Macaca mulatta: one gene and its partners. The protein of the gene in region 1 interacts with the protein of each later gene in a pairwise test. Links are inferred from orthologs where the notes say so. Each region holds a gene or a part of one and is shown in the gene's direction. Other genes may lie near its edges. The genes, in order: NTAQ1, CDR2, EIF2B1, NT5C1A, PPCDC, JUP and VCP.

Region 1 (4,130 bases):
CAATGTAAACATCTCAGTTTTTATAATGGGAAGTACCCTGATTAGCGAGTTATCCTCATTGCAAATATAAACAATTCAGAAGACTGTAAAGTGTAAAGTCCTTGAAACTGAAAGTCCCTGATATTAATACTATTCATTCACCATAGATAAATTCTATTTTTTTTCTTTTTTTGAGACGGAGTCTTGCTCTGTCGACCAGGCTGGAGTGCAATGGCACTATCTTGGCTTACTGCAACCTCCGCCTCCCGGGTTCAAGCGATTCTCCTGCCTCAGCCTCCCGAGTGTCTGGGACTACAGGCGCGCGCCTCCACGCCCAGCTAATTTTTGTATTTTTAGTAGAGACGGAGTTTCACCATTTTGGCCAGGCTGGTCTCGAACTCCTGACCTCGTGATCCACCCGCCTCGGCCTTACCAAGTGCTGGGATTACAGGCCTGAGCCACGGCGCCCGGCCCTAAATACTATTTTAACAATATGGTGTCTTTTCTTCCAGACTGCCAGTAAATGAACAAACACATGATTAACACAAAAACGATACCATATGGACTCTTTAAACTTTTTTTTTCAAATTTACTATATCAGGGAATTAATATATCTTTTCGAGCCAATAGATATAGGTCTTCCAATTTAAAAGATTAAGTTACAATAGAGTGAGATTTGGTGTGCTATCCCTTTCGGAAAGCGTCCTCGATGCGGTCATATTGGAATTAACCTCCACTCCCCTCCTCTTCTCTGGGCTCCCGCGGACTCCAGGCTGAGTGCTGAAGTGTGGATTTTCACACCCAAACCTCTGTTATTTCAGTGTCTCACCTGGCTTCTCCACAGCGCAGAAGCTCAGCCCCAAGTTGGAAGAGCCTCCCCGGGAGATTCACAGCGAAGCGCTATTCAGGGCCCAACTCCAAGCCCAAACCTAGCTCCACCCTAAGCCGCCGCCAAAGACCCCTCTTCTCCCAAACCTCACCGGGGCCCCGCCCCTGACTCCGCCCACGAGAGCCCAAGCCTCCAGTCCTGCCCCACCCCGGGCTCCACCCACCAGCCGGGCTCCGCCTACCCGGAAGCACGCAGTCCTCCTCGTCCCGGGCTCCGCCCACCGGGAGTTCTCGCCGCTCACCCCACCCCGGACCCGCCCACTTCGCTTGGGCTCCACCTTCCCAGGAACTGGCGCCGCTTGCCCGAGCTCTGCCCATTTCGTCCCCGGCTTCCCGCGCTGAGAACTCGTGCTGCGAGCCCCGCCCACCGCGCTCCTGGCCCCACCGCCCGGAAACTGTCCCGGCCGCCCCGGGCTCCTCCCACCCCGCCCTGAGAGCCCGCGCGTGCCGCTACACGCCCGCCCTTTCCTACGTGTGGTCCAGTCGGTCTTCCTCCGGCGTCGGCGCTGGCTGAGCTAGCTGGCCATGGAGGGTAATGGCCCCACTGCCGTCCACTACCAGCCGGCCAGTCCCCCGCGGGACGCCTGTGTCTACAGCAGCTGCTACTGGTGAGGGGGCGCGGGCGCAGCCTCTGGGTCTCCCTGGCTCCCGGGCCGCGAGTTGCAACCAGGCCCCGCCTCTTCCCGGCCCCTGCTCGGGGGCGCTCCCGGCCTCTACCGGCGGGTTCTACAGTTCTGCGGGAGTAGGGAGCGGGAATGGCAGCTCTTGTCTCTTGAGTAGAGCGTGGGCTGTTGGATGGGGTTGGGAATTCGTCCGGAATCCTAGGGTCGATAGTGCATTACCTGTGCCTGGCGCTTGTCGGTTGGATTTGCTCAGCAGATCTCTGCTTCGGGGCTAGGGAGGGTGGAGCTCTGAAAACCTTTGGAAGTTACTCTGCTGAAGCATGTGGGGTTTCAGACTGAGGCGAAGGTCATTTTAATTTTGGAAGAGAATGGAAGCACAGAGAGTTTGGGATAACTTCCCAAGGTCACCCAGCTAATAGCAGCCAGGAATCCAGTTCGGGCTCTCTGGCACCAGAAACCATGATCTTAACCATGTTGTCATTATAATAATGGTTACATTCACACAGCCCTTGCTATATGCCACGCGTTGTTCTGGGTGGTTTAGGTAAACTAAATCACTGAGTATCACAATAACCCTAAGAGGTAGGTATTGTTATCCCCAGTTTAAAGATGAGAGCACTGAAGCACAGAGGGCTGCAAGTAATTTGCGCAGGGCCACATCACTTGTGAATGAAGGAGTGGGGATTTACAGGCAGAGTCTGGCCCCGGAGTCCATGCTCTGCACCCCTGTCCTAGGCCACCTCTGCAGCTGAAGCACCGCCCCTGCCTTGGTCCTTTTTCATTCCCATGCCTACTCTTTCCTGAGTAATGGTTTCTTCCCCAGCTTCTTCTAGTCCTTGCACAGGAACCCTCAGTGCTATCTAAAACTACCCTTCCCCCTTCTGCTTGTCACTAAATCAATGCCACCGAGCATTTGTTCGGCCCTGATTGCATGTCAGGCTCAGTGGCAGGTGCTTCCATCGATGTCCATGAGTAGCTTCTTTTACTATCGTTATCCTCATTTTACTAATAAAAAGAGTGAGCCACAGAGAGGCTGTTGTGTGCCCCCAGATCACACATCTAGCAAGTGGTGGTGCTGAAACTGGAACATCTTCGTGATTTTGAAGTTCATGCATCTTAACTGCTGCACTCTTTTTCTGTCCTGCCTCTTCTAAATCCCGTTAGTTCTCCTCCCTAATGTCCATTGTTTTATTCATTCATTCAATAAATGTGTATTAGGCACTTGGAGTATGTGGCCCACTTCTGGGCACTGGAGATACAGCAGTGAACAAGATGGACAAATTCACTCATGGATCCCTTGGTTCTTGTATTTTGATGAGAGAAAAGCAGATAAGGTCCGGTGCGATGGCTCACGCCTGTAATTCCAGCACTTTGGGAGGCTGAGGTGGGCGGATCACTTGAGGCCAGGAGTTTGAGACCAGGCTGGCCAACATGCAGAAAGGCTGCCTCTACTAAAAATACAAAAATTAGCCAGGTGTGGTGGCACACGCCTGTAATCCCAGCTACTCGGGAAGCTGAGGCAGGAGAATCGCTTGAACCCGGGAGGAGGAGATTCCTGTGAGCCGATGCCACTGCACTCCAGCCTGGGAAACAGAGCGAGATTCCATCTCAAAAAAAAAAGGCAGACAAAAACAAGTAAACCATGTTTGGGTGGTGTTAAGTGCTGTGAGAAAAATAAGATAAAGGATGGTGGCTTATTTTCTATTAGGATATTTTGAGAAGACATTGTTGATAAGGTGATATTTGAACAGAGATCTGAAAAAAGAGGGTGAGAGCTTTGCATCTATTGGAGGATGGTCATTTAAGCAGGGAGAACAGCAGGTACAAAGGCTCTGAGAAGGAATTGTGCTGTATGATAGAAACAGTGAGGAGACTGGTACAATTGGAGTATCAGAGTTAGAGCAGTCTTGTAGAAGAATGGTAAGAGTTGACCACTCTACCGCAGGATTTCTCCGCCTAGGTTCGAGTGACATTTTGAGCATGATAATTCTTTGCTATGGGGGCTGTCCTGTGTATTGCAGGACATGTAGCAGCATCCCTGGCCTCTACCCACTAGATGCTGTTAGCACCCTAGCTCTAGTTGTGACAACCAAAAATGTCTCCAGACATTGCTAAGTGTCCTGTAGGGCTTGGGGGGCAAAATCGCCTTTTGCTGAGAAACAGTGCTCTACCCTGTCTGAACATGTCAGGTGGGGGCACTGCACTACTTTGGCTCCTGCAGCTTTGTGGGGTTTTTTTATTTTTGAGACGGAGTCTCAGTCTATCACCCAGGCTGGAGTGCAGTGGTGCCATCTCGGCTCACTGCAACCTCTGCCTCCCAGGCTCAAGCCATTCTCCTGCCTCAGCCTCCCGAGTAGCTGGGACTACAGGCACCCACCACCATGCCCGGCTCATTTTTGTATTTTTAGTAGAGATGAGGTTTCACCACAGTGGCCGGGCTGGTCTCAAACTCCTGACCTGAGGTGATCCACCCGCCTCGGCCTCCCAAAGTTCTGGGATTACAGGCATGAGTCACCATGCCTGGCCATCCTGCAGGTTTTTAAACTTGAAATGAGTGCCTCCTGTCTACTTCTGTTAGCTTCTGTCATGTTAGCTTCCAAATGTTACTTATGCTTCAAGACCCTGCTTAATGATAATAGT
Region 2 (3,935 bases), on another chromosome or scaffold:
CCTGCTTAAGAGTTTCCGTGCTTTGTCTGTAAGATGGTGCTAAAAGCTTTACTCATGAGCAGTATTTGCTGGGTTATGTCGGTGGAGGACAGCGTGCTCTGCCTTGCTGGCTACTAAGTGCTGGGGCTGCAGCCTGACCCCTCCAGGTGCAATGCCACGTCCCCAGATGCTTAACTTGTGGTCTAGAGGTACCTTTTAAAAATCGTTGCAACCCTGCTTACAATTTTCCCCCTCCAAGTGGACAGCTTCGGGCATCCCTCACTGCCCCAGATTCTCAACGGGGTCTGGCGCCCACCGTTTTAGGGAGCGTAATTCCCAGAGCTCAGATGTCAACGAGACAAGAGCTACCGCTCAGTGGGCGTTTTCTCAGCCCTAAACTCCCGATCGACTCCGAGTCTCCTTGCCGGACCCGGAGCAAATCTCAGAGTCAACATGCGAGAAGCGGCAGCCGGGCGGCGGACCTCCGGCTTCCGGCACCCTCGCGCTTCCCGCCGGCACGAAGGACGCCTCTCGACAACCGCCCGCCTCTCAGAGGCCGAAGTCCTAGGCCCTCCGGCCTGCGCTGCCTGTCCACGGACGCGCTGGCCTCGGGACACCCACCAAAGCGGCAGGACTCGCCTCCGCCAGCTCCACAGCCCGGAACCTAGTACGCGCTCCTAGGAGCCGCACAGCGCAGATCAGGGGGCGGGCTTTCGGCCGCACCCCTTCACTGTTTCCCCGCCTTCTTTGTTTATTCGGGGCCCGTCATTGGCTGCTTGGCCTCGAAACCGGGCGAGCCGCGGGTCTTTGGAGAGACGCTATTGGACGAAGTCCCTGTCGCTCGGCCAGCGGCCCGCTCGCGATTGGTTGAGAAGCCGCCGGGGGTTTGAATCGCATCCCCGGCCGGGGAGGGTTCTGCCAAAGTGCCACGTTGGGCCCGGCGGCGGCGTGAAGACCGGCGGCAGCGTGAGAACCTGGCTCCCTACGTTCGCGCCGTAACGCCCGGCCGTTGGGGCCGTTGGGAGGCGCTAGGCGAGTCGAAGCAGCCGGCCGGTCGGCGGCGGTCGCCGGCGGGAACGGGGCTGAGGCGGCGCGGCGGAGCCTGGGCGGCGGCGCGTCCCGCCCGAGGGCGGCTCTGGCTGAGGGCGGAGGGGCCGGGGAAGAGCCCGGGGCAGCGGCTGAGGCGGGACGGCGGCGGCGGGGACCGTTGCCCCTAGAGGACCCAGCCGAGATGCTGGCGGAAAACCTGGTGGAGGAGTTTGAAATGAAGGAGGACGAGCCGTGGTACGACCACCAGGACCTCCAGCAAGGTGAGGGCGGGGGCGCCCCGCGGGCGGGCGGGCGGCGGCGGCGGCGGCCTGGCCCGGGAGGCCCCCGCTGCGAAACTGTTAAAAAGTTGCTTTTTCTGGCGGCTGAGGATGCAGGTGCCGGGAAGGGCTCGGGCTCACCTGGCGGCGGGGCCGGCCGTGCCCGTGGATCCCGCCCGCAGGAAGCCTCGGCGCGGGGCCCACGGCCCTGCTAATGCGCAGTTGAATATCAGACCCGAGGCGCATGGGGGCCAGGGACGCGCCAGGCACCGTTTTAAGCGCTTTCCGTGGATTAGCTAGTTTAATCCTCACTGCATTCCTCCGAGGCAGACCGGGTGAGCCAGTGTGTCCCGTAGTAAGTGGCAGAGCCCGAGAAGCCGCCCCCTCGCAGGCTGTGTAGCCCAGCGCCTTTCTTGGCCAGCACGGAGGGCCGGCTGCTGCAGGTGGTAGTGGTTTTGCGATGTAGCGGGAGCTGTGCGCTCTGCGCCGTAACTCTAGGAGACAGTAACTTTTAAAAAATTGATTAATTTTGAGGGTACATAGTAGGTGTATCTATTTATGGGGTACGTGAGATGTTTGGATACAGGCACGCAGTGTGAAATAAGCACGTGATGGAGAACGGGGCGTCCATCCCTTCCAGCATTTATCCATTGAGGTACAAACAATCCAATTACACTGAGAGTAACTTTTGTTATCCCATTTTCCAGATGAGGAAAGCGGAGGTTGAAACGGTTGAGTGGCTTGCCTAAAGCTAAGTGGGGGAGGGAGTGGTTTTTTGAACCCACACACTCAAAAGGAGGAGTTGTAGTCACTCCTCAAACCCCCATCCCTTCCTTACCATCCTAGTTAACAGTTTTTTTTCAGTTGGGAATTAAGCTGTTACGCATAGTTCACCAGATGCCAGTTGAAATGACAGAAGAGCGCTTCTACCTCTGCCACTTTTCTTCAGTTTGCATGCCAGCTTTCACTTAGAAATAGGCCTGCCGATGGTGTCTCCAGAGAACAATCATAGAGCAGCCAACACTTTGGGGCCAGTGGGGCCCCACTTTTTTTTATACTAATAGCAGGAGCTAGCAATTGGGGAACACTTTTGATGTGCCTAACACTGATAGGCCCATAACAGAGTTGCTCATTTATCTCCCAGTAACACAATAGAGGTGATAATGTTGGGGAGTGCTAGGGTTCCCCTTAAGACTCGAGAGCAAACATTCTTAACCGCTATACTGAACACTGTGAATAATCCTCAGGAATTTTTCCCGGCATCTTTGGTTTCTGCAATTCTATGTAAATGTTTTCAGCTCTAATCTTGCAGTGAAAATTAACATCTCATTTAGTTAAATATTGAATGATGCTGATGCTTGTTCATGCTAACCACTGAACATGGCAGATGCTTGTTCATGCTAACCACTGAACATGGCAGATGCTTGTTCATGCTAACCACTGAACATGGCAGAAGGAAACTGTGTAGACTTGAGTAACTCAGAAAAGGAAAATAAAACGAGCACCTCTTTTGGAGGAAGATAATTTCTTAAATTAACATGCAATCACTTTAACCAAAGTAATTCACCTTTATTACGCTTATAGAGTCCAAGCTGCTTAGTGGTTGCAGTGCAGTGTTTGGTGGCATCATCTTTATGTCCAAAGGACACATTTCTCATACGTTTTAACAAACCTGTTTTCAGATTTCCCCATAGGGATTGATGGCCTAGTTTGATAGTTTCTCCAGGATTTGTGAGGCAACCACTGTGCCATTGCAGTATTTCCCTATAATTTAATTTGTATCATCACAACTAAATATTTTTCTTTCCTGTATTTAAGAAGCATAGGCCGGGTGCGGTGGCTCACGCCTGTAATCCCAACACTTTGGGAGGCCGCGGCGGGTGGATCACAAGATCAGGAGTTTGAGCCCAGCCTGACCAACAAGGTGAAACCCCGTCTCTACTAAAAATACAAAAATTAGCCAGGCGTGCCTATAATTAGCATGTGCCTGTAATCCCAGCTACTCAGGAGACTGAGGCAGGAGAATTGCTTGAATATAGAAGGCCGAGGTTGCAGTGAGCCAAGATGGCGCCGCGGCACTCCAGCCTGGGCGACACGAGACTCTGTCTTAAAAAAAAAAAAAAATTTAAGAAGCATAAATCCTTAAGGGTATAGAGGGGGCAGGTTCTTTTTTCTGGTATTCCCAGCATCTAGCATAATACTTGGCACATACTGGAAGCTCGATTTTAGTATTTGTTGAACTGCACTGAAGCACTATCACAGAAGTGTTTTCATGGCTCTCTTCCATCAGGTGCCTTAGTCCACGCTGCGTTCTCCCACTGTTGGAGGTTGTTTGGAACCACCAGCTGTAACACTTCAGTCTATCAAGCAGCAAGTGCAGCGTGTCAGGGTTACAGGTGGAATTCTCTTTAACCTCTGATCAAAATAAAGTCATCAACTCTTCAAGTTTAACGTTAAAAACACAGGTCTGGCCAGGCGCGGTGGCTCACGCCTGTAATCCCAGCACTTTGAGAGGCCGAGGCAGGTGGATCACGAGGTCAGGAGAACGAGACCATCCTGGCTAACACGGTGAAACCCTGTCTCTACTAAAAATACAAAAAATAAAAAATTAGCCGGGCATGGTGGTGGGCGCCTGTAGTCCCAGCTGCT
Region 3 (4,082 bases), on another chromosome or scaffold:
TCTTGCTCCCCACAGTCCATTTTCCACACAACAGCCACAGTGATCTTTTAAAATTGCAAACCAGATCATAACACTTCCTGGCTTAAAACTCTACAATGTCTTTGTCTTGCACCTAAAAATAAAGCCTAACTTCTCTATCATGGCCAATAAGGCCCTGCATGACCTGAAACTGGCTGGTTCTCTGATCTCATCCCTCTAGCCTCCTTTTTCTTCAAGACATCTGACTGTGTATGTGGCAGCTAATGTATGAATGGGTCTCCCCACCATCCTCTACCCACAAGCTCTCCATTCCTCCCTTCTCGGTGTAACTTGTAACTCTGCCACAGGGCCCTTGCACTTAAAGTGCACTTTCCCAGAACTTCACACAATCATTTGAGTCGGTTTCAATATCCTGCATTTTTCCTTGGCCCCGATTAAAACAGCGCCTCCTCAAAGTCACAATGTACTATTGTAACTAGGACTGTATTATTACATGATCTTCATAGCTCTTTTCATCCTTTGAAAAATAATTTATTTTTTAATTTTTTATTGACGAGGTCATGCCCTGTCACCCATGCTGGGAGCAGTGCTCCGATCATAGCTCACTGAAGCCTCGAACTCCTGGGCTCAAGTGATTCTCCCGCCTCACCCTCCCGAGTAGCTGGGACCACAGACACGCGCCCGGCTAATTATTTTATTTTTCTGTAGAGATGGGGTCTGGCTGTGTTGCCCAGGCAGGTCTCGAACTCCCGGCTTCAAGCGATTCTCCCGCCTCGGCCTCCCAAAGTGCTGGGATTACAGGCCTAATCCACCCGGGTGTGACCCGGCCGAAATTATTTTTATTTATTGTCGTCTGTTTCACCCAGTAGACTGTAACCTCCACTAAGGCCCCTGTCTGTCACGATCCCTGCTACAATCCAATAAATAATGCCTGCACACAGGAGGCGATCCAAAAATATTTACTGAATGAATGACTGAATGCCTTGGCTACTCCTCTAAAGACCAAACGGGTTCTATCCAGCCCAAAAGACACACTCCATCTGGCCGGTCATAGCCGGATCGAGCCCGCCAAGCCCCGGAGTCGAACTCCGCCCTGCAGGGTCCTCACCGTCTGAAACCATGGCTGTCCCAGCACCTCAGCGAAGAACAAGCGGTGGTCAGGCGAGCGTCTCAAACGCTGCGCAGCCCAACATCCGGCGCCGCCGAGTGACGCACAAGGTGCTTTGACTCATGCCAGCCCCCTAAGCTGCGGAAGTGGAATGCGGAGGTGCGCCGGTTGTGGGGTACGGAAGTGCGCCACGGCAGTGCGCCGGAAGTGTGGTGCGGAGGTGTGCGGTGCGCTGTCAGACTGGCTGGGAGGCGGCGCGGCCGGCGGACCCGTTCAAGACAGCGCGGGCGGCTCGGGTGCCCCGGGGCTCCGCCGCAGGAGGACGCCATGGACGACAAGGGTAAATCAGGACAGGCCAGGGCTGCTAGGCTACAGCAGAGCCGTTCAGGGGTCCCCCCAACCTCTCACATCCAGGCTGAGCTCCCGAAGAGATTTCTTTTGAACTTCAGGCTGCTTCACTGGATGTGTTTCCTCGAGTCACAACTAAATTCCCCGCGCTGCTCTTGTTTTCAGGGATGCGCCCTGACGGTATTTGCAGGCACCCCTCCCACACATACGCTCCTTCCCGGTGCCTGTCTCCAGAAGGGCCTTCGCAGTTTCGATTTCCTTATATGTGAAATAGGAGTAAGACTCCCTGCCTTGTTGGATCTGTCATTAAAATTAGAATGAATAAGGCATATTTGATGTGCTCATCTAGTATGCTTATTAAGTGAAACACAAGGGCAAACTAATATACTTTTCATGTAAAGAAATAAAGGGGAGTGGGTGGAACTCCATATGTATTTGTAACATATATGTGTATGTGAATAGACTTGTATTAGCATAGACTGTCTGGAGGGGTGCAGGAGAAATTGGCAAGGTGGTTGACTTTGGGATCCTCTCAGATCTTAGGGCCAAGGATGCTGAAGAGAGAATGACTTTTCATCATCATTTACTCGGGCTTAATTTTTAGGCCTTGCACACCAGTAGCTTTTTCAAAATAAGAAAGAGCTCTTGCAAACAGCAAAGTGGTGTTTTCTCTATTCCTATCAACGTTTATTGCATCCCTGAAACTAAATACCCTAAAAAGAAAGTATTTTTTAAATTATTTGCTTCTTAAAAAGTCGGCAGTCATTAACAAGCTCTCTTGCCTTACATGCTGCTAAATGAATTAGATGAATCACTTTTCTCACTTTTTCCAGAGTTAATTGAATACTTTAAGTCTCAGATGAAAGAAGATCCTGACATGGCCTCAGCAGTGGCTGCCATCCGGACGTTGCTGGAGTTCTTGAAGCGAGATAAAGGTATAGAGAGTCATCTGTTAACATTCTGGGATTTAGGAAAGTCTTTTTTTAAAAAAAAAGAGACGGAGTCTCGCTCTGTCGCCCAGGCTGGAGTGCAGTGGTGCAATCTTGGCTTACTGCAACCTCCGCCTCCTGGGTTCAAGCAATTCTCCTGCCTCAGCCTCCTCAGTAGCTGGGACTACAGGCGCACGCTGCCATGCCTGGCTAATTTTTTTGTATTTTAGAGACAGGGTTTCACCATGTTACCCAGGCTGATGTCGAACTCCTGAGCTTAGGCAATCTGCCTGCCTTGGCCTCCCAAAGTGTTAGGATTACAGGCGTGAGCCACTGTGCTCGGCCCTTTTTTTTTTTTTTTTTGAGACAGTTTTGCTCTTGTCTCCCAGGCTGGAGTGCAGTGGCACGATCTCAGCTCACTGCAGCTTCTGCCTCTCAAGTTCAAGTGATTCTCTTGCTTCAGCCTTCCGAGTAGCTGGGATTACAGGCATGTACTATCACACCTGGCAAATTTTTTTATTTTTAGTGGAGACGGGGTTTCACCATGTTGGCCACACTGGTCTTAAATCCTGACCTCAGGTGATCTGTCCGCCTCGCCCTCCCAAACTGCTGGGATTACAGGCATGAGCCTGTGTTCGGCCAGGAAATTCTTCTCATGACTCTTGGAAATGTAGAAAGTGAGAGATGCATGTTTGCCTGCATAAAGTAGTACAGCTCCAAGCTCAGTTTCTGCCTTCATTTCAGACTTTTCAATCTGGAGAGAGCCCTTACATTGTCATCAAAAGGATCCCTATCATAAGTGAAATATACTTTGAATCAAGAGTGACTATTTTATATTGTGTTAACCATGATGCTTAAATTACAGTAGCAGTTCAGCTTTATAAGTGTTCATTAGGCCTCCACCTTGTGCCAGATTCTGTACAGATGTTACAGGGAATATTCCAGAATAAATTCTGGTATTAGTATTATTTATTGTGATCCCCTAATTCAGCACTCTAAACGTTAGCATCTAGGTATAGCATGAAATCTTGTATAGGCAAAATAATAATAAGGCCTTTAATCTGAAGGGCAGGCCTAGAGACGCTTGTCTCTAAGGCAACCTCCAGTGTCTTCCCATTGTTCTTAAAATAACATCCAAACAACCTTAGCCTCACCCATACCACCTTGCAGAACTCATCTGCCGCTGCTACTCAATGTGTTTCCATGCCTCAGCCTCCCAAAGTGCTGGGATTACAGGCCTGAGCCACCATGCCTGGCCACCCGGCTTTATTTCTATGTGTGCTTGTTTACTATCCGCTTCCTCTATTAGAATCAAAACGCCATCAGATCATAACCCTAGGGGCCTGTCTTGTTCACTGATATATTCCTCTTATCTAGAACAGTGCCTGGTACATAATAATATACATTATTATGTACCTAATAAATGTTCATTGAATGAATGAATGAATTGAAGACACAGGTCGTGGCTGTGGTCCTAATGTGAACATCACATTCCTTGGATCATTCCAGGGGAGACAATCCAGGGCCTGAGGGCGAATCTCACCAGTGCCATAGAAACCCTGTGTGGTGTGGACTCCTCCGTGGCAGTGTCCTCTGGCGGGGAGCTCTTCCTCCGCTTCATCAGCCTTACCTCCCTGGAATACTCCGTAAGCACCTGCTCTCCCTGGGGTTACCTTTCTACTTCTCCATTTAGTGACAGACATTCTCAGCATTACCTG
Region 4 (3,500 bases), on another chromosome or scaffold:
GTTGGGGCCTTGGCACTGGCATGTAGGTGTGCCTCTGTGTGTTCGTAACTTGACCTCAGGCTAAGGAGCAAGATAATGGTCCACGGGAAGGCCCTGCTGAGGGTAGAGGTGGTTCTGGATCATCTTGGTTCCAGTGCTGGCAGAGCTGAGAAGGTGCTTGGCTTGATGCCTGGCACTGGCCCTGCTTGTAGCATCCTCAGGCTAGTGAAGTTGTGTGCGGGTAGCACTGCTCACTCCTCCCAAAGCTCACCTAAGCCCAGCCTCTGTGATCCTCAGTTCTCAAAGAGTTGGGCTGAAGTGGTCTTTGAAGAGATGGAGACTAGGGAATGGGCTCAGCTAGCAGCCCAGGTCTCCAGCCTCCCAGCACTGGCTTTCTGCCATCTAGTGCAGCTCTAGCCTGGAGCCTGAACCCCTGAGAGGCATCCTTGGATCCCTGGAGGAGCCCGGGGTTGCAGAGAGTTTGTGCACACAACTAGCCATCACTTGTGCTGTCTCCCAGGGCCACCTAGGTTGTTTTTTGGAACCCTGAACAGCTGCCAGTAGGGCATACCTGGGTGTCATTGTGGCTGTAGACTGAGGGTGCCCGTACTCACCTCACCTGATTGCAGCCTATGGTCTCAGCCCCAGAGATGAGAGGCCCTTAATTTTACAGTGGTCCAGAGAAGGTGAGTGACTTGCTAGAACCAATGGTGAGGGAGTGACTGAGGCCAAACCAGAGTTGGGGCTCCTTCCAGCCCCAATGTAGGTCTATAGCAGGGGTTGTAAAGCACCCCTGGCAGGAAGGCAGTGGCCGGTGGGACTCACGTTTGGCTGGTCCACAGCAGCATGATCTTACTAGGGGTTAAAGTATTGAAATTCCTTCACACTGGTTGGTAAATAGTTCCTGCCCTGAGTCCTGAGTGCCCTCCTCCTCCCCGGGACTCCTCCCAGACTTTTCCACAAAGCAATAACCAACAGGGTAACCTGGCAAGGCAAGGGCCCTAGAGATCTGCTTCAGAGCCACTGCTGCTGCCCTCTTCGTGGCCAGGATCCATGCACTACCAGTTTTTACATGTTTTAAATATTAGTTTTTATCAGCCTTGCCCTGAGTCCTGTATGAGGCAGGTGGGGCAAGGACAGCCTAAGTTAGCCCGCTCTGGCCCTACTGCCCAGCCTGAAGGCAGATAATACTTGCCTCTCTCTGCCTAGGGATCGCAGCTGCCACCATCTTCAGCCCCAGCAGGGACGTGGTTGTGTCCCAGAGTCAGCTGCGCGTGGCCTTCGACGGGGACGCTGTGCTCTTCTCGGATGAGTCGGAGCGCATCGTCAAGGCCCACGGGCTGGACCGATTCTTCGAGCATGAGAAGGCCCACGAGAACAAACCTCTGGCTCAGGTGCTCCATAGAGACCCAGAACCCCTGAGAGGAACAAGGCAGCTCCCCAGATCCGCCCTTGGCCTGCACTCCCAGCCCGGAACCAAACAAACCCCAGGCTCAGCCCAGATTCCAGCCCGGTCCCGTCAACCCTCTCACTTGACCACTGGCCCCCCATCAATGAGCTTCCACCCACTTTGTCGAGCCCACATCCCCTCACTGAAGTCCCAACCCCACTTTGAAGCCTCCATTCTCTAAGCCTCTCTCTAAGCCCATACCCACTCTCTGCAGCTCAAATCCCCATTTCTGAGGTCTCCTTTCCCTGCCTGATGTCCCCATTCTCTACATCCCCCCCTTCTCTGAAGTCCCTGCCCTGTTCTGAAGGCCTCATTCTGTTTCTCTGAAGTTCCCATCGTCTCTCTGGAACCCTCACTTCCTCCCCTGAGATCCCCCACCCCTCTGAGAGCATGCCCAGCCTCTTAAGAAGCCTGTTTCCCTCCCTGGAAACAGGAGGAAACGAACTGCTGGACTGGGACGCCTCACTGGGGCAGGGAGATCCAGCTGGGTGTGGCATCTGGGGCAGACCATTTGCTTTGGGACACCTCTTGCCATCCATCCCTTAGCTGGGGGCATAGGGACACTCACTCACCCTCAAACTGCTCAGTGTCTCTCAGAACAGAATATACCCTAGAGCTTGGTGGAAATTCCCTGGAGTTGGGGCTTTTGGATTCTCCAGCTCTGCTGGGAGCTCCTATTTGAGCTTTTAACAAAAAGCTGCATGCTCAATAATCTCAGAGCCCCCCGCTCCAAGAGCTCAGCAGGTTTCAGTTGTGGCTCCTAAATATTCAGTTCGCATCTGTTCTTGTGAGTTGCCTCTGAAATCCTTGGGAATCCAGGGCAGGAGAGTTATCCTACTAAGTGGTAAGCAGAGGCCCAGGAGACCACTGCTTATTCCAGTTCACCTAGCAAGCAAGAGGTCTCCAAGACGAGGAGCCCCCTTTTGTTTATTTCTAGCTGCTTTGGAAATAAGCAGTTTTCTTCATTGTCGTCTGCTTTTTTATTCTCACATCCTCAGGAAGCTTCATTGTTCTGGGCACTGTAGAGAATAAATTCTTTCCCTGACCCTAGAGAGCTTGAGGATGACACCTTGAGCCACCTGGGTGCCAGATGGGCACGGTTGATACTCAACAGTTACACACTGGGCCATCTTCTCCAGCTGTTTACAGCTGGAGTCCATTCTGATTGAAGGGTGCCCATTGCCATAGTTACTAGTTTTAATATCCTCCCTGTTGAAGGGCACAAAAGGCCACACTTACAGAGCTTCAGGACAGACATCTGTATACCTTGATGGGCATATGGATGGAGGATACATATCAACAGTTGCCCTGAGAGTTATTCTGACCCTGCACCAGTATGCAATAACACAGTTCCCCTGACTGGAGCCCCACTGGCGCACACAGCAGCATAAGCAGGCATGAGCAGAACTAACTGAAAGATTGAGGGATCCTGAACTTTTCACACCAAACAAGACACTAGTGCTTTAGGGAGAGCAGGGGGCAAATATTTGGGAGGTGGTAGAGCTAACAGTGTTCCCCTTGCCTTCTCATAGGGCCCCTTAAAGGGCTTTCTGGAGGCACTGGGTAGGCTGCAGAAGAAGTTCTACTCCAAAGGCCTACGGCTGGAGTGCCCAATTCGTACCTACTTGGTGACAGCACGCAGTGCAGCCAGTTCTGGGGCCCGGGCTCTCAAGACCCTGCGCAGCTGGGGCCTGGAGACAGATGAAGCCCTGTTCCTCGCTGGAGCGCCCAAGGGCCCCCTCCTAGAGAAGATCCGCCCACACATCTTCTTTGATGACCAGATGTTCCATGTGGCTGGTGCTCAGGAGATGGGCACTGTGGCCGCCCATGTGCCTTATGGCGTGGCACAGACACCCCGGCGGACTGCACCTGCAAAGCAGGCCCCATCTGCACAGTAGCTGAACCACCAGCTTTACTGATCCACATTGCTCCAGGCTCCCTGAAATACTTCGACACGTCCTCTGGTAGATCCCTCTAGTTTCTCACTGTTCTGTGCTTCTGCCTGTCTGCCCGCATCCCTATGAGTGATGTACTTGTAGGAAATTATGCAGACGGAACTGGCATTCTCAAC
Region 5 (2,435 bases), on another chromosome or scaffold:
ACAGTGGTGTGATCTCGGCTCACTGCAAACTCCGCCTCCCAGGTTCAAGCGATTCTCCTGCCTCAGCCTCCCAAGTAGCTGGGACTACAGGTGCCTGCCACCACGCCTGGCTAATTTTTTGTATTTTTAGTAGAGACAGGGTTTTACCATGTTAGCCAGGATGGTCTTGATCTCCTGACCTTGTGATCTGCCTGCCTCGGCCTCCAAAGTGCTGGGATTACAGGTGTGAGCCACTGCACCCAGCCAACACCTTCTTTATAAGGTCACAGTGAGGGTTAATGAGATCCTATACATGAGAAGGTTTTGGTAACGGCAGATGTTTTCATTGCCAGACTTTAGCTGGCCTTGCAGAGCTGATGTCGGGTAGATGGGCCCCACTGAGGAGCAGCCTCGTCCTTTGCTTTCTGGTGTAACCAAAAAAGCCTGCCTTCTGCTCCCCAGGGTTGCTTCTCCCAGGAGGTGTGAGCCTACCTGGAGGAGGCTTAGGCACAGGGATACCTGCTGGAGGTCTGAGCGTTGGTTGAGCACCTCCTGTTTGTAGGATCCTGTGCCAGAGCCTGTGGGGAGGTGGAGAGAGGCGAGGAGACACAGCCTCCACCCCTGAGAGACGAGACAGTTCTCTGCAGCCAGGCTGTGCCCATTCATCTCAAGCCCACAGCTGGGCTGCTGGCTGCAGGGTCTGGAGGGCAGTGGGGAAGGTGGCAGACAGAGTAGCAAGACCCCCACTTCCCCGGCTTTGTTCACAGACCTGCATCATCCGGGCCTGGGACCGCAGCAAGCCCCTGCTCTTCTGCCCGGCCATGAACACCGCCATGTGGGAGCACCCTATCACAGCGCAGCAGGTAGACCAGCTCAAGGCCTTCGGCTATGTCGAGATCCCCTGTGTGGCCAAGAAGCTGGTGTGTGGAGACGAAGGTGGGTGTCTTGCCAGGCTCATAGCCCATGGCCGTAGAAGGGGCTCAGCTTTGGGGTCACATCTCAGTTCAGTTCCTGGCCTGTTATGACCTTAGCAAACCATTCTCTGAGCTTAGCTTTCTCAGTTGGAAAATGGGAATTGTAATTCCTGCCTCCAGATTGGTAGGGTAAAATGGGATGGACCATGTAAAGTACATGGTAGAGTCCCTGGCACGCAGCCCACACGTAGTTAAGGATGGCCACTGGAACGATTCCCAGGGCCTCACCGGGGGTCTCGGGAGAGATATGATGTGTCTGACTCAGGCAGAGACAGACCTTGCCCTCTCAGGCCTTGGGCTCTCGGTGGAGCACTCAGGGAGCAATGGGCAGGGGTCTGCAGGGCTACAGGCACTGTCTGCCTGTCTGGCTACAGCGGAATTTTGCTCCCAGGTCTGGGGGCCATGGCTGAAGTGGGGACCATCGTGGACAAAGTGAAAGAAGTCCTCTTCCAGCACAGTGGCTTCCAGCAGAGTTGACCTGGAATTTCTGTCATGGTTGTCCCTCTGTATTCAGCATGTGTTCAGGCCAAGTTGGTGAAGATGGATGTTGGCAAAATAGGAGGATTCCCTTATTTGCTGAATGGGGGGCCTGCTCTGAGCCTCCCCAGGGGCTGGGCCTGCTCCAGGTTATACTGGACAGAAGGCTCAGGTCTCAGCTTCTTTCAACCAAGAGAGGCCGCTGCCTAGAGCCCATCCCCACCTTTTCCTGGATGGGCGAGGCAAGCCAGGAGAGCAAGCAGTGTTGTCCTCACTGGAGGAGGACTGAGCGACTGGGAAAACTCGGCTCTACATCTCACCCAGAATGACTTTTAGAAACACCACAGCTGGAGAGTCCTGGCTGAGCCTTGGGAGCTTCAGCTCTTTGGCGGGGTGCCCAGATGCCATGCGATCAGCGAAGCCTGCGAGTTGGCAGGACTCTGAGGTTTCCTGCAGACCATGCCATGAGATTGAAGGTGCGGGGAAATAAAGAACAATCACCGTTTAGGAGGCTCCATTCTTTCCCTATAACCCAACTGTGGTCCCAGAGACCAGGGGGTGTTGCCAGGTGTGGCTGGGGAAGGGTCTGGGTTGATGACTCACTGGTACTCTTTAGTCCCCATATAACATGGTGGTTAAGGATAAAGTTCTGAAGCCAGAAAGCCCCTAGTTCCAATCCCAGCTCTGCCACTTACTGGCAGTGGGAGTTTGGTTCAGGACTTAGCCTTCCTGACCTTCACTTTCCTCAGCTATCTTGTTTCCTACCCTCAGGGAGTTGTTGAGAGGATTCGGTGAAATTATGTGTGCAAAATACCCATGCCACTGAGTGCCTGGAACATAGTAAATGTCAAATCAATGGAAGTTAAAACTAGGCATGCTTATATGCCAGAGAGCTTTCCTAACATTTACTGCAATGCCCCATCTCATTTTGGGAAAAAGAAAATCCTGGATGCTAAGCTGACACATCCCTTTATGCAGGTGACAGGTAAGCAGCCAGGAGGGTTG
Region 6 (3,500 bases), on another chromosome or scaffold:
GCGCACCATGCAGAATACCAGTGACCTGGACACGGCCCGCTGTACCACCAGCATCCTGCACAACCTCTCCCACCACCGGGAGGGGCTGCTCGCCATCTTCAAGTCGGGCGGCATCCCTGCTCTGGTCCGCATGCTCAGGTACCCACCCCTGCTCAGTGCAGGAGTCCAGGACCCCGCCTCACTTGGGCCTCTCCCCTCCCTTCCCTGGGCTTCCATAAATACCCAGCGAGCAACTATCATGTGCCAGGCAGAGGCACACCCCATCCTGGTGCTCAGTGGCTCACAGCCCAGCAGGGAACACAGGCATGTAAACAGCAGGTTAATGATCAGGATATGACACAGGCTGTGGCAGAAGAGCATTGAGGTTGCTCAGAGGTGGAATCGCTTAATGGCAGGGGATTAACAGATGAGTGGAGTTTGGCTAGTGTGGAGGAACCGAAGAGTGTCCCAGGCAGAGGGAACAGCAAATGCAAAGTTCCTTACAAACTTTCTGTTTCTGGGCCCCCTACAAAATGTTGATTGGTCTCATTTCTCGTTTTTTTTGAGATGAGGTCTTGCTGTCGCCCAAGCTGGACTGCAGTGGCATGATCTCAGCTCACTGCAGCTTCCACCTCCCAGGTTTGAATATTCCTTCTGCCTCAGTCTCCTGAGTAGCTGGGATTACAAGTGTCTGCCACCATGCCCAGCTAATTTTTTTTTTTTTTTTTGAGACAGAGTTTTCCTCTTGTTGCCCAGGCTGGAGTGCAGTGGCGCAGTCTCAGCTCACTGCAACCTCCGCCTCCCGGGTTCAAGCGATTCTCCTGCCTTAGCCTCCCAAGTAGCAGGGATTACAGGTGCCCACCACCACGCCTGGCTAATTTTTGTATTTTTAGTAAAGATGGGGTTTCACCATGTTGGCCAGGCTAGTCTTGAACTCCTGACCTCAGGTGATCTGCCCGCCTTGGCCTCCCAAAGTGCTGGGATTATAGGCGTCTGCCACCATGTCGAGCTCAATTTTGTATTTTTAATAGAGACGGAGTTTCGCCACGTTGGCCAGGCTGGTCTCGAACTCCTAACCTCAGGTGATCCCCCGCCTCGGCCTCCCAAAGTGCTGAGATTACAGACGTGAGCCACCGCGCCTGGCCTCATTTCTCATCCCTATACCAGGCTGGGAGCTCCATGAAGGGGAGACACTGATTTCATTCCCCTCTGAACACCTTGCAAGGCCTCTCTAATATGTGGCCTTCCACATGGTAGTTACTTAGTAGGGATCAGTGTCTAGGGACCTGCTGTGTGCTCAGCACAGGGCTGGGGGCTCAGAAGCAGGAGGAGTCATTGTCTCAGTTGGGAGAAGACAGGTGCTGTTTGCTTCATGCTTAAGAGCCGGGCAGGCTCAAGGAGTGATGAGATTTTAGCAAAGGGATATTTCCAGAGGGGTGTCAGTAGTGGGGAGGCTTCCTGGGGGAGGTGGGAACCCATACCAGGCTCACATGTATGCCAGGCCCCTGGGACCTCGGCATACTAACCCCTGCCCACCCCCCCAGCTCCCCTGTGGAGTCGGTCCTGTTCTACGCCATCACCACGCTGCATAACCTGCTCCTGTACCAGGAGGGCGCCAAGATGGCCGTGCGCCTGGCTGACGGGCTGCAAAAGATGGTGCCCCTGCTCAACAAGAACAATCCCAAGTTCCTGGCCATCACCACCGACTGCCTGCAGCTCCTGGCCTACGGCAACCAGGAGAGCAAGGTGGGCCCTCCCCAACCCTCCTGAGGCCTGAAGCCCACCCTTGCGTCACCCTCTATCCTCCACAGCTTCGGGCTGCTGCCCCTTACTCCTTTTAGATGAGATATAGGGGCAGATGTGCATGCTTCATCATGCGACTGAATTGGTCAGAATTATTATTTTGAGCATAAGGAAAAAAAATCACTCATCCTCATACAGCCACTATTGTCATTTCGATATGCTCCGTTAAGAGCTGTTCTGTGGGCAGACTACAGATGTGTGCACATTCTTGTCATAACAATCTGCAACATTGCATCTGTTTTCTGCCTGCTTTTTTTTTTTTTTTTTTTTGAGACAGGGTCACCCAGGCTGGAGTGCAGTGGTGTAATCAGGGCTCACTGCAACCTTGACTTCCTGGGCTCAGATGATCCTCCCACCTCGGCCTCCAGAGTAGCTGGGACTTCAGGCATGTGCCACCATGCCCGACTAGTTCTTTTTTACTCTTCTTTTTTTTTTTTTTTTTTTTTGAGATGGAGTCTCACTCTGTCGCCTAGGCTGGAGTGCGGTGGCGCAATCTCAGCTGACTGCAACTTCCGCCTCCCGGGTTCAAGTGATTCTCCTGCCTCAGCCTCCCAAGTAGCTGGGATTACAGGTGCCCACCACTATGCTCAGCTAATTTTTGTATTTTTAGTAGAGACAAGGTTTCACCAGGTTGGCCAGGCTGGTCTCAAACTCCTGACCTTAGGTGATCCATCTGCCTTGGCCTCCCAAAGTGCTGGGATTACAGGCGTGAGCCACTGCACCGGGCCCCCGACTAATTTTTTGTAGAGGTGAGATTTCTCCATGTTGCCCAGGCTGGTCTCAAACTCCTAGGTTCAAGTGATCTGTCTGCCTTGGCCTCCCAAAGTGTCAGGATTACAGGTATGAGCCACTGTGTCTGGCCTGCATGATGTTTAAAAAAAATTGTTTTTGCTCTGTTGTCCTCAAAACCACCCTCTAATAATGACAGATTGCCTTTCCTTTCCCCTTTCCCCTTTCTTTTTCCTTTTCCTTTCCCTTTTCCTCTCTTCCTCTCTTTCTTCCTTCCTTCCCATTTCTTCCTTTTCTTTCTTTTTTGAGATAGGGTCTCACTGTGTTACCCAGGCTAGAGTACAGTGGCATGATCCTAGCTCACTGCAACCTCAAAATCCTGAGCTCAAGCATTCCTCCCACCTTAGCCTTCCTGATAACTAGGACTACAGAAACGTACCAATGAGCTAATTAGCACCTGGGCTAAGTTTTAAATTTTTTATGGGGATGGGGTCTTGCTCTGTTGCCCAGGCTACCCTCAAGGAATCCTCCTGCCTCAGCCTCCGAAATAGTGGGATTAAAGTCATGAGCCACCATACCTAGCCTACAGATAGCATTTCATTAAGTGGAGACCTTAGGCTTTATTCTGAGGGAGGGTATTTAGATTGCTCCTATTCCACCTTTATAAACAATGCTGTCTAACGAATTAACGAATGTCTTTGGGCATATAGCCTTTGTCAAAGAGTGGAAAAAATTCTCATTGATTTTTAACAGTTCTAGGCTTTTACCCAAATGGCCAGACTGATTTCCAGAAGGATTGGACTAATTTCCAGTGCCATAACTGGTAATGGATGTGCATATAGTTTTGTCACATCCTTGTCAGCACTAGGTATTATCCTTTTTTTCAAAATTTTGGCTTACATAACAGTCATGAAACTATTGGGGTGGGCTGGGTGTGGTGGCTCACGCCTGTAATCCCAGCACTTTGGGAGGCCGAGGTAGGTGAATTG
Region 7 (3,500 bases), on another chromosome or scaffold:
TAAAAATGCAGAATTAGCTGGGCGTGGTGGCTCATGCCTGTAATCCCAGCTACTGGGAAGGCTGAGGCGGGAGAATCACTTGAACCTGGGAGGCGGAGCAGAGGTTGCAGTTAGCTGAGATCCCTTCATTGCATTCCAGCCTGTACAACAAGAGCGAAACTCCATCTCAAGAAAAAAAAAAAGAGAGAGAGAGAGAGAACTTGAGTCTACTAAGTGACAGCTGGAGATGGGCTAGGTAATAAGTTGGTGTCACTGTCTGGTGAATGACCCTGTCTTGTAGGAAATAACAAACTGAGTATAGACCCAGTCAACTTTGATTTGGATGAGAGGGATTTGTATTTGCACAGTGTTTCAGCATTTCTTGGTTTTGGTTTTTTGAGCCAACTTTATGGAATTGTGTGCTTTTGCAGAAATTACTGTGAAGTTCCTTTTGACCTTGAGCCTCTTTCTGGCAGTTTCATGTTTGTTAGTGTTGTTTCCAAATATGATGGAAACCATATGATGATTTTTATGCTTGGCATTCCTTTGGTACTATGGAATGCCCTGGCATCAGTAGGTTTAGCCTATAAGGAGGGTAGCGCCAATAATTCTGCTTCATTGTCCCCAGGCTTGCTTGGTAGGACTTGAGAGCTCCCCGAGCCTCAAGGGAAATTGTCTGGCTTACTTCATTCCCTGGAAAGTTAGCTTATGCTTTATATTGTTAATCATGGTGACTGTTATTACCATGTGCCAGCTATTATGTTAAGCATTTTACATTCATTATCTCCCTTAAGACAATAAGCCTCTGAGGTAAGTATTATAGTCTCTCTCTTATAGAGGAAGACATCAAAGTTCAGAGGTTAGGTAACTTGCCCAAGATCACAGTTAAGTAGTGGCAGAATTGGAATTCAGACCCAATGGGTCTGACTATTATAGAGTTCCTGCTCTTAACCACTCTTCTATAAGTCTAAGACTATTTTTATTTCTCTAATAACTCTTCAGTCTCCATTTCTATTATGTCTTCTTGGGGCAGGATCACTCACTTGGAGCCTTATAGCTGGGACACTGATGCTCAAAATACCAGGAGCTGCCGGAATGGGTATTGTAATATGTATGCTAGATACTGCTCCTCGTGACCTTGGCTGCCTTTCCTTCATCCGCGCTCTCTGGTCTAGGGACAGCTTCATCTATTCACTGTTTGTTTCCTAAGTATGAGTTTTAGAGACTGGTGAGGCCCTTGGGGCAGGAGTATCTACTGGGACTGACTCCATTTCCTGCTTCTAGTTCAAAAGGTGATGACCTATCAACAGCCATTCTCAAACAGAAGAACCGTCCCAATCGGTTAATTGTTGATGAAGCCATCAATGAGGACAACAGTGTGGTGTCCTTGTCCCAGGTAAGCTGGGGCCACAAACTAGTCTTTCCTTACTGCACTTACTTGAGGGATTTGCCCAGGTTTCTTTTCTCATTTTGCAGATATTTGTATTTGCAGACTGCAGATAGAGTGGGGTTTACTGGGAATCCCAATCTCGAGGGCTGTTGCTTACTCCCCTTCTGCCCAGTGACCCAAAGGCCTTAACTTTCTATCCTCAGCCCAAGATGGATGAATTGCAGTTGTTCCGAGGTGACACAGTGTTGCTGAAAGGAAAGAAGAGACGAGAAGCTGTTTGCATCGTCCTTTCTGATGACACTTGTTCTGATGAGAAGATTCGGATGAATAGAGTTGTTCGGAATAACCTTCGTGTACGCCTAGGGGATGTCATCAGGTGTGTGGGGTTTTTGGCTCCACAGGGATGGGAGGCCAGAGATAGCCTGCATTACAGGCAGTACCCATGTATTACTGGCAGGACCAAGTTCTTGGAACCTGTCGATGCAGGAAGCCTGCTGGTCATGGGAAGACTTATGCTTCAGGATTGTCTTTAGGTTTTGGTTCTGCCTTCCTGGGACTTCAAAATCCATTTCTGCAGGTCGCTTGAGACAAATTGGCATTCCTGTAACTTTCTTGGTGCCTTTATTTTTTCCTACTAGAAGTGTAATTTATCATACTTATAGCCTAGCTTAGGATACCACTCGAGGGTGTGTATGTATCTGCCAAATAACCTCCTCACTACTCTCACTAGTATGTCCAATTAATGGCTTGCGTTGGGGTTGGAATGAGGTGGGGATATGGACATGGAAGGTGAGCTGCTAGCAGGCCTTTTAAGCCCCTAAGTGAACCCGGGAGAGAGGAATAGTTGGAGCCAGACCCAGGATAGTTCTCAATGTGAGTGATTTTGCTTGTTCTTGCATAATTTTAGGCAAGAGGTTGCCCCATCTTGGAGTCATCTCTAGCCACTCTTACCCAACCAACCATCACCTGGCCAGGATCATCTCAGGCTTTTGATTCTTTTTGATGGAGTCTTAAGTTTCATGTAGCTTTCTTCTTGGGGGTGCTTAGTCACTTCCTCAAGGTGTTCTGAACACCTGGCTGAGATAATTTTGTTTTTTTCACTTCTGTTTCACTGACCCCGACAGTTGTTAGCTTAAGACCTTCCCTTGTAATATTGGGTCACCGATATTAGCTAGAAGGGGATCATCCTTGGATATCTCACTGAAGACCTTGCATATCTTTGTGGGGTTTCTAAATGTGTGGCTCTTGATTTTGGCTCACTGATTAGAAGTGAGTGGGGCTGTTCCTTTGCCCTCACTTCCACGGTGTTCTCCTTCCTCTCTTCACCTAAAGCCATCCTGCCTTTTCTTTTTCACTTACTATCAGCTATCTGTGCCAGGCCCTTTTGGACACCCAGTGCTTGGGCCCGAAGTGTGGTTGGTAATATGGAGTCTGCTTGTCATCCTCAGCATCCAGCCATGCCCTGATGTGAAGTACGGCAAACGTATCCACGTGCTGCCCATTGATGACACAGTGGAAGGCATTACTGGTAATCTCTTTGAGGTATACCTTAAGCCGTACTTCCTGGAAGCTTATCGACCCATCCGGAAAGGTGAGAGCTAATTCTGAGTTTAAGGATTATTGACTGTAGTTAATAAACCTTGGAACATCTTCGTCTCGTTTTCTTTTTTTTTTTTTTAATCTTTTATGCTTTTCTCCTGTATTTATTTATTTATTTTTTAAGAGATGGGGTCAGCTGGGCACCGTGGCTCACACCTATAACCCCAGCGATTTGGGAGGCTGAGACGGGTGGATCACTTGAGGCCAGGAGTTCGAGACCAGCCTGGCCAACATGGCAAAACCGCATTGTGGGCACCTGTAATCCCAACGACCTGGGGGGCTGAGGCACAAGAATTGCTTGAACCCAAGAGGTGGAGGTTGCAGTGAGCCAAGACCAGGCCACTGTACTCCAGCCTGGGTGACAGAGCAAGACTCTGTCTCAAAAAAAAAAAGAAATGGGGTCTCACTATGATGCCCACGCTGGTCTCAAACTGCTGGTCTCAAGTGACCCACCTGCCATGGCCTCCCAAAGTGCTGGGATTACAGGCATGAGCCGTCATGCCTAGTCTCATTTTCTTTTCTTTTTTTTTAT

The links.
Region 2: the proteins of NTAQ1 (region 1) and CDR2 interact in binary tests that used the Homo sapiens proteins (3 or more experiments, as listed by UniProt). The two-hybrid records come from large-scale screens. The link is inferred for Macaca mulatta from reciprocal best matches to the Homo sapiens genes NTAQ1 and CDR2.
Region 3: the proteins of NTAQ1 (region 1) and EIF2B1 interact in binary tests that used the Homo sapiens proteins (3 or more experiments, as listed by UniProt). The two-hybrid records come from large-scale screens. The link is inferred for Macaca mulatta from reciprocal best matches to the Homo sapiens genes NTAQ1 and EIF2B1.
Region 4: the proteins of NTAQ1 (region 1) and NT5C1A interact in binary tests that used the Homo sapiens proteins (3 or more experiments, as listed by UniProt). The two-hybrid records come from large-scale screens. The link is inferred for Macaca mulatta from reciprocal best matches to the Homo sapiens genes NTAQ1 and NT5C1A.
Region 5: the proteins of NTAQ1 (region 1) and PPCDC interact in binary tests that used the Homo sapiens proteins (3 or more experiments, as listed by UniProt). The two-hybrid records come from large-scale screens. The link is inferred for Macaca mulatta from reciprocal best matches to the Homo sapiens genes NTAQ1 and PPCDC.
Region 6: the proteins of NTAQ1 (region 1) and JUP interact in binary tests that used the Homo sapiens proteins (3 or more experiments, as listed by UniProt). The two-hybrid records come from large-scale screens. The link is inferred for Macaca mulatta from reciprocal best matches to the Homo sapiens genes NTAQ1 and JUP.
Region 7: the proteins of NTAQ1 (region 1) and VCP interact in binary tests that used the Homo sapiens proteins (3 or more experiments, as listed by UniProt). The two-hybrid records come from large-scale screens. The link is inferred for Macaca mulatta from reciprocal best matches to the Homo sapiens genes NTAQ1 and VCP.

Annotation. Positions count from the first base shown.
Region 1 is NC_133413.1:133,837,243-133,841,372, forward strand, and holds the start of NTAQ1 (protein N-terminal glutamine amidohydrolase), read left to right. Parts: upstream 1-1,330; 5' UTR 1,331-1,392; coding exon 1,393-1,475; intron 1,476-4,130. UniProt on the Homo sapiens protein: Mediates the side-chain deamidation of N-terminal glutamine residues to glutamate, an important step in N-end rule pathway of protein degradation.
Region 2 is NC_133425.1:21,841,763-21,845,697, reverse strand, and holds the start of CDR2 (cerebellar degeneration-related protein 2), read left to right. Parts: upstream 1-1,135; 5' UTR 1,136-1,210; coding exon 1,211-1,289; intron 1,290-3,935.
Region 3 is NC_133416.1:131,055,305-131,059,386, reverse strand, and holds the start of EIF2B1 (translation initiation factor eIF2B subunit alpha), read left to right. Parts: upstream 1-1,282; 5' UTR 1,283-1,414; coding exon 1,415-1,427; intron 1,428-2,268; coding exon 2,269-2,370; intron 2,371-3,873; coding exon 3,874-4,010; intron 4,011-4,082. Other genes in the region: GTF2H3 (general transcription factor IIH subunit 3), read right to left, coding at 1,088-1,100.
Region 4 is NC_133406.1:201,123,640-201,127,139, forward strand, and holds part of NT5C1A (cytosolic 5'-nucleotidase 1A), read left to right. Parts: intron 1-1,188; coding exon 1,189-1,373; intron 1,374-2,961; coding exon 2,962-3,327; 3' UTR 3,328-3,500.
Region 5 is NC_133412.1:53,003,786-53,006,220, forward strand, and holds the end of PPCDC (phosphopantothenoylcysteine decarboxylase), read left to right. Parts: intron 1-746; coding exon 747-915; intron 916-1,342; exon of another isoform or gene 1,343-1,344; coding exon 1,345-1,430; 3' UTR 1,431-1,935; downstream 1,936-2,435. UniProt on the Homo sapiens protein: Catalyzes the decarboxylation of the cysteine moiety of 4-phosphopantothenoylcysteine to form 4'-phosphopantotheine and this reaction forms part of the biosynthesis of coenzyme A.
Region 6 is NC_133421.1:66,096,254-66,099,753, reverse strand, and holds part of JUP (junction plakoglobin), read left to right. Parts: coding exon 1-138; intron 139-1,523; coding exon 1,524-1,725; intron 1,726-3,500. UniProt on the Homo sapiens protein: Common junctional plaque protein. The membrane-associated plaques are architectural elements in an important strategic position to influence the arrangement and function of both the cytoskeleton and the cells within the tissue.
Region 7 is NC_133420.1:64,659,049-64,662,548, forward strand, and holds part of VCP (transitional endoplasmic reticulum ATPase), read left to right. Parts: intron 1-1,263; coding exon 1,264-1,375; intron 1,376-1,572; coding exon 1,573-1,745; intron 1,746-2,817; coding exon 2,818-2,960; exon of another isoform or gene 2,961-2,995; intron 2,996-3,500. UniProt on the Homo sapiens protein: Necessary for the fragmentation of Golgi stacks during mitosis and for their reassembly after mitosis. Involved in the formation of the transitional endoplasmic reticulum (tER).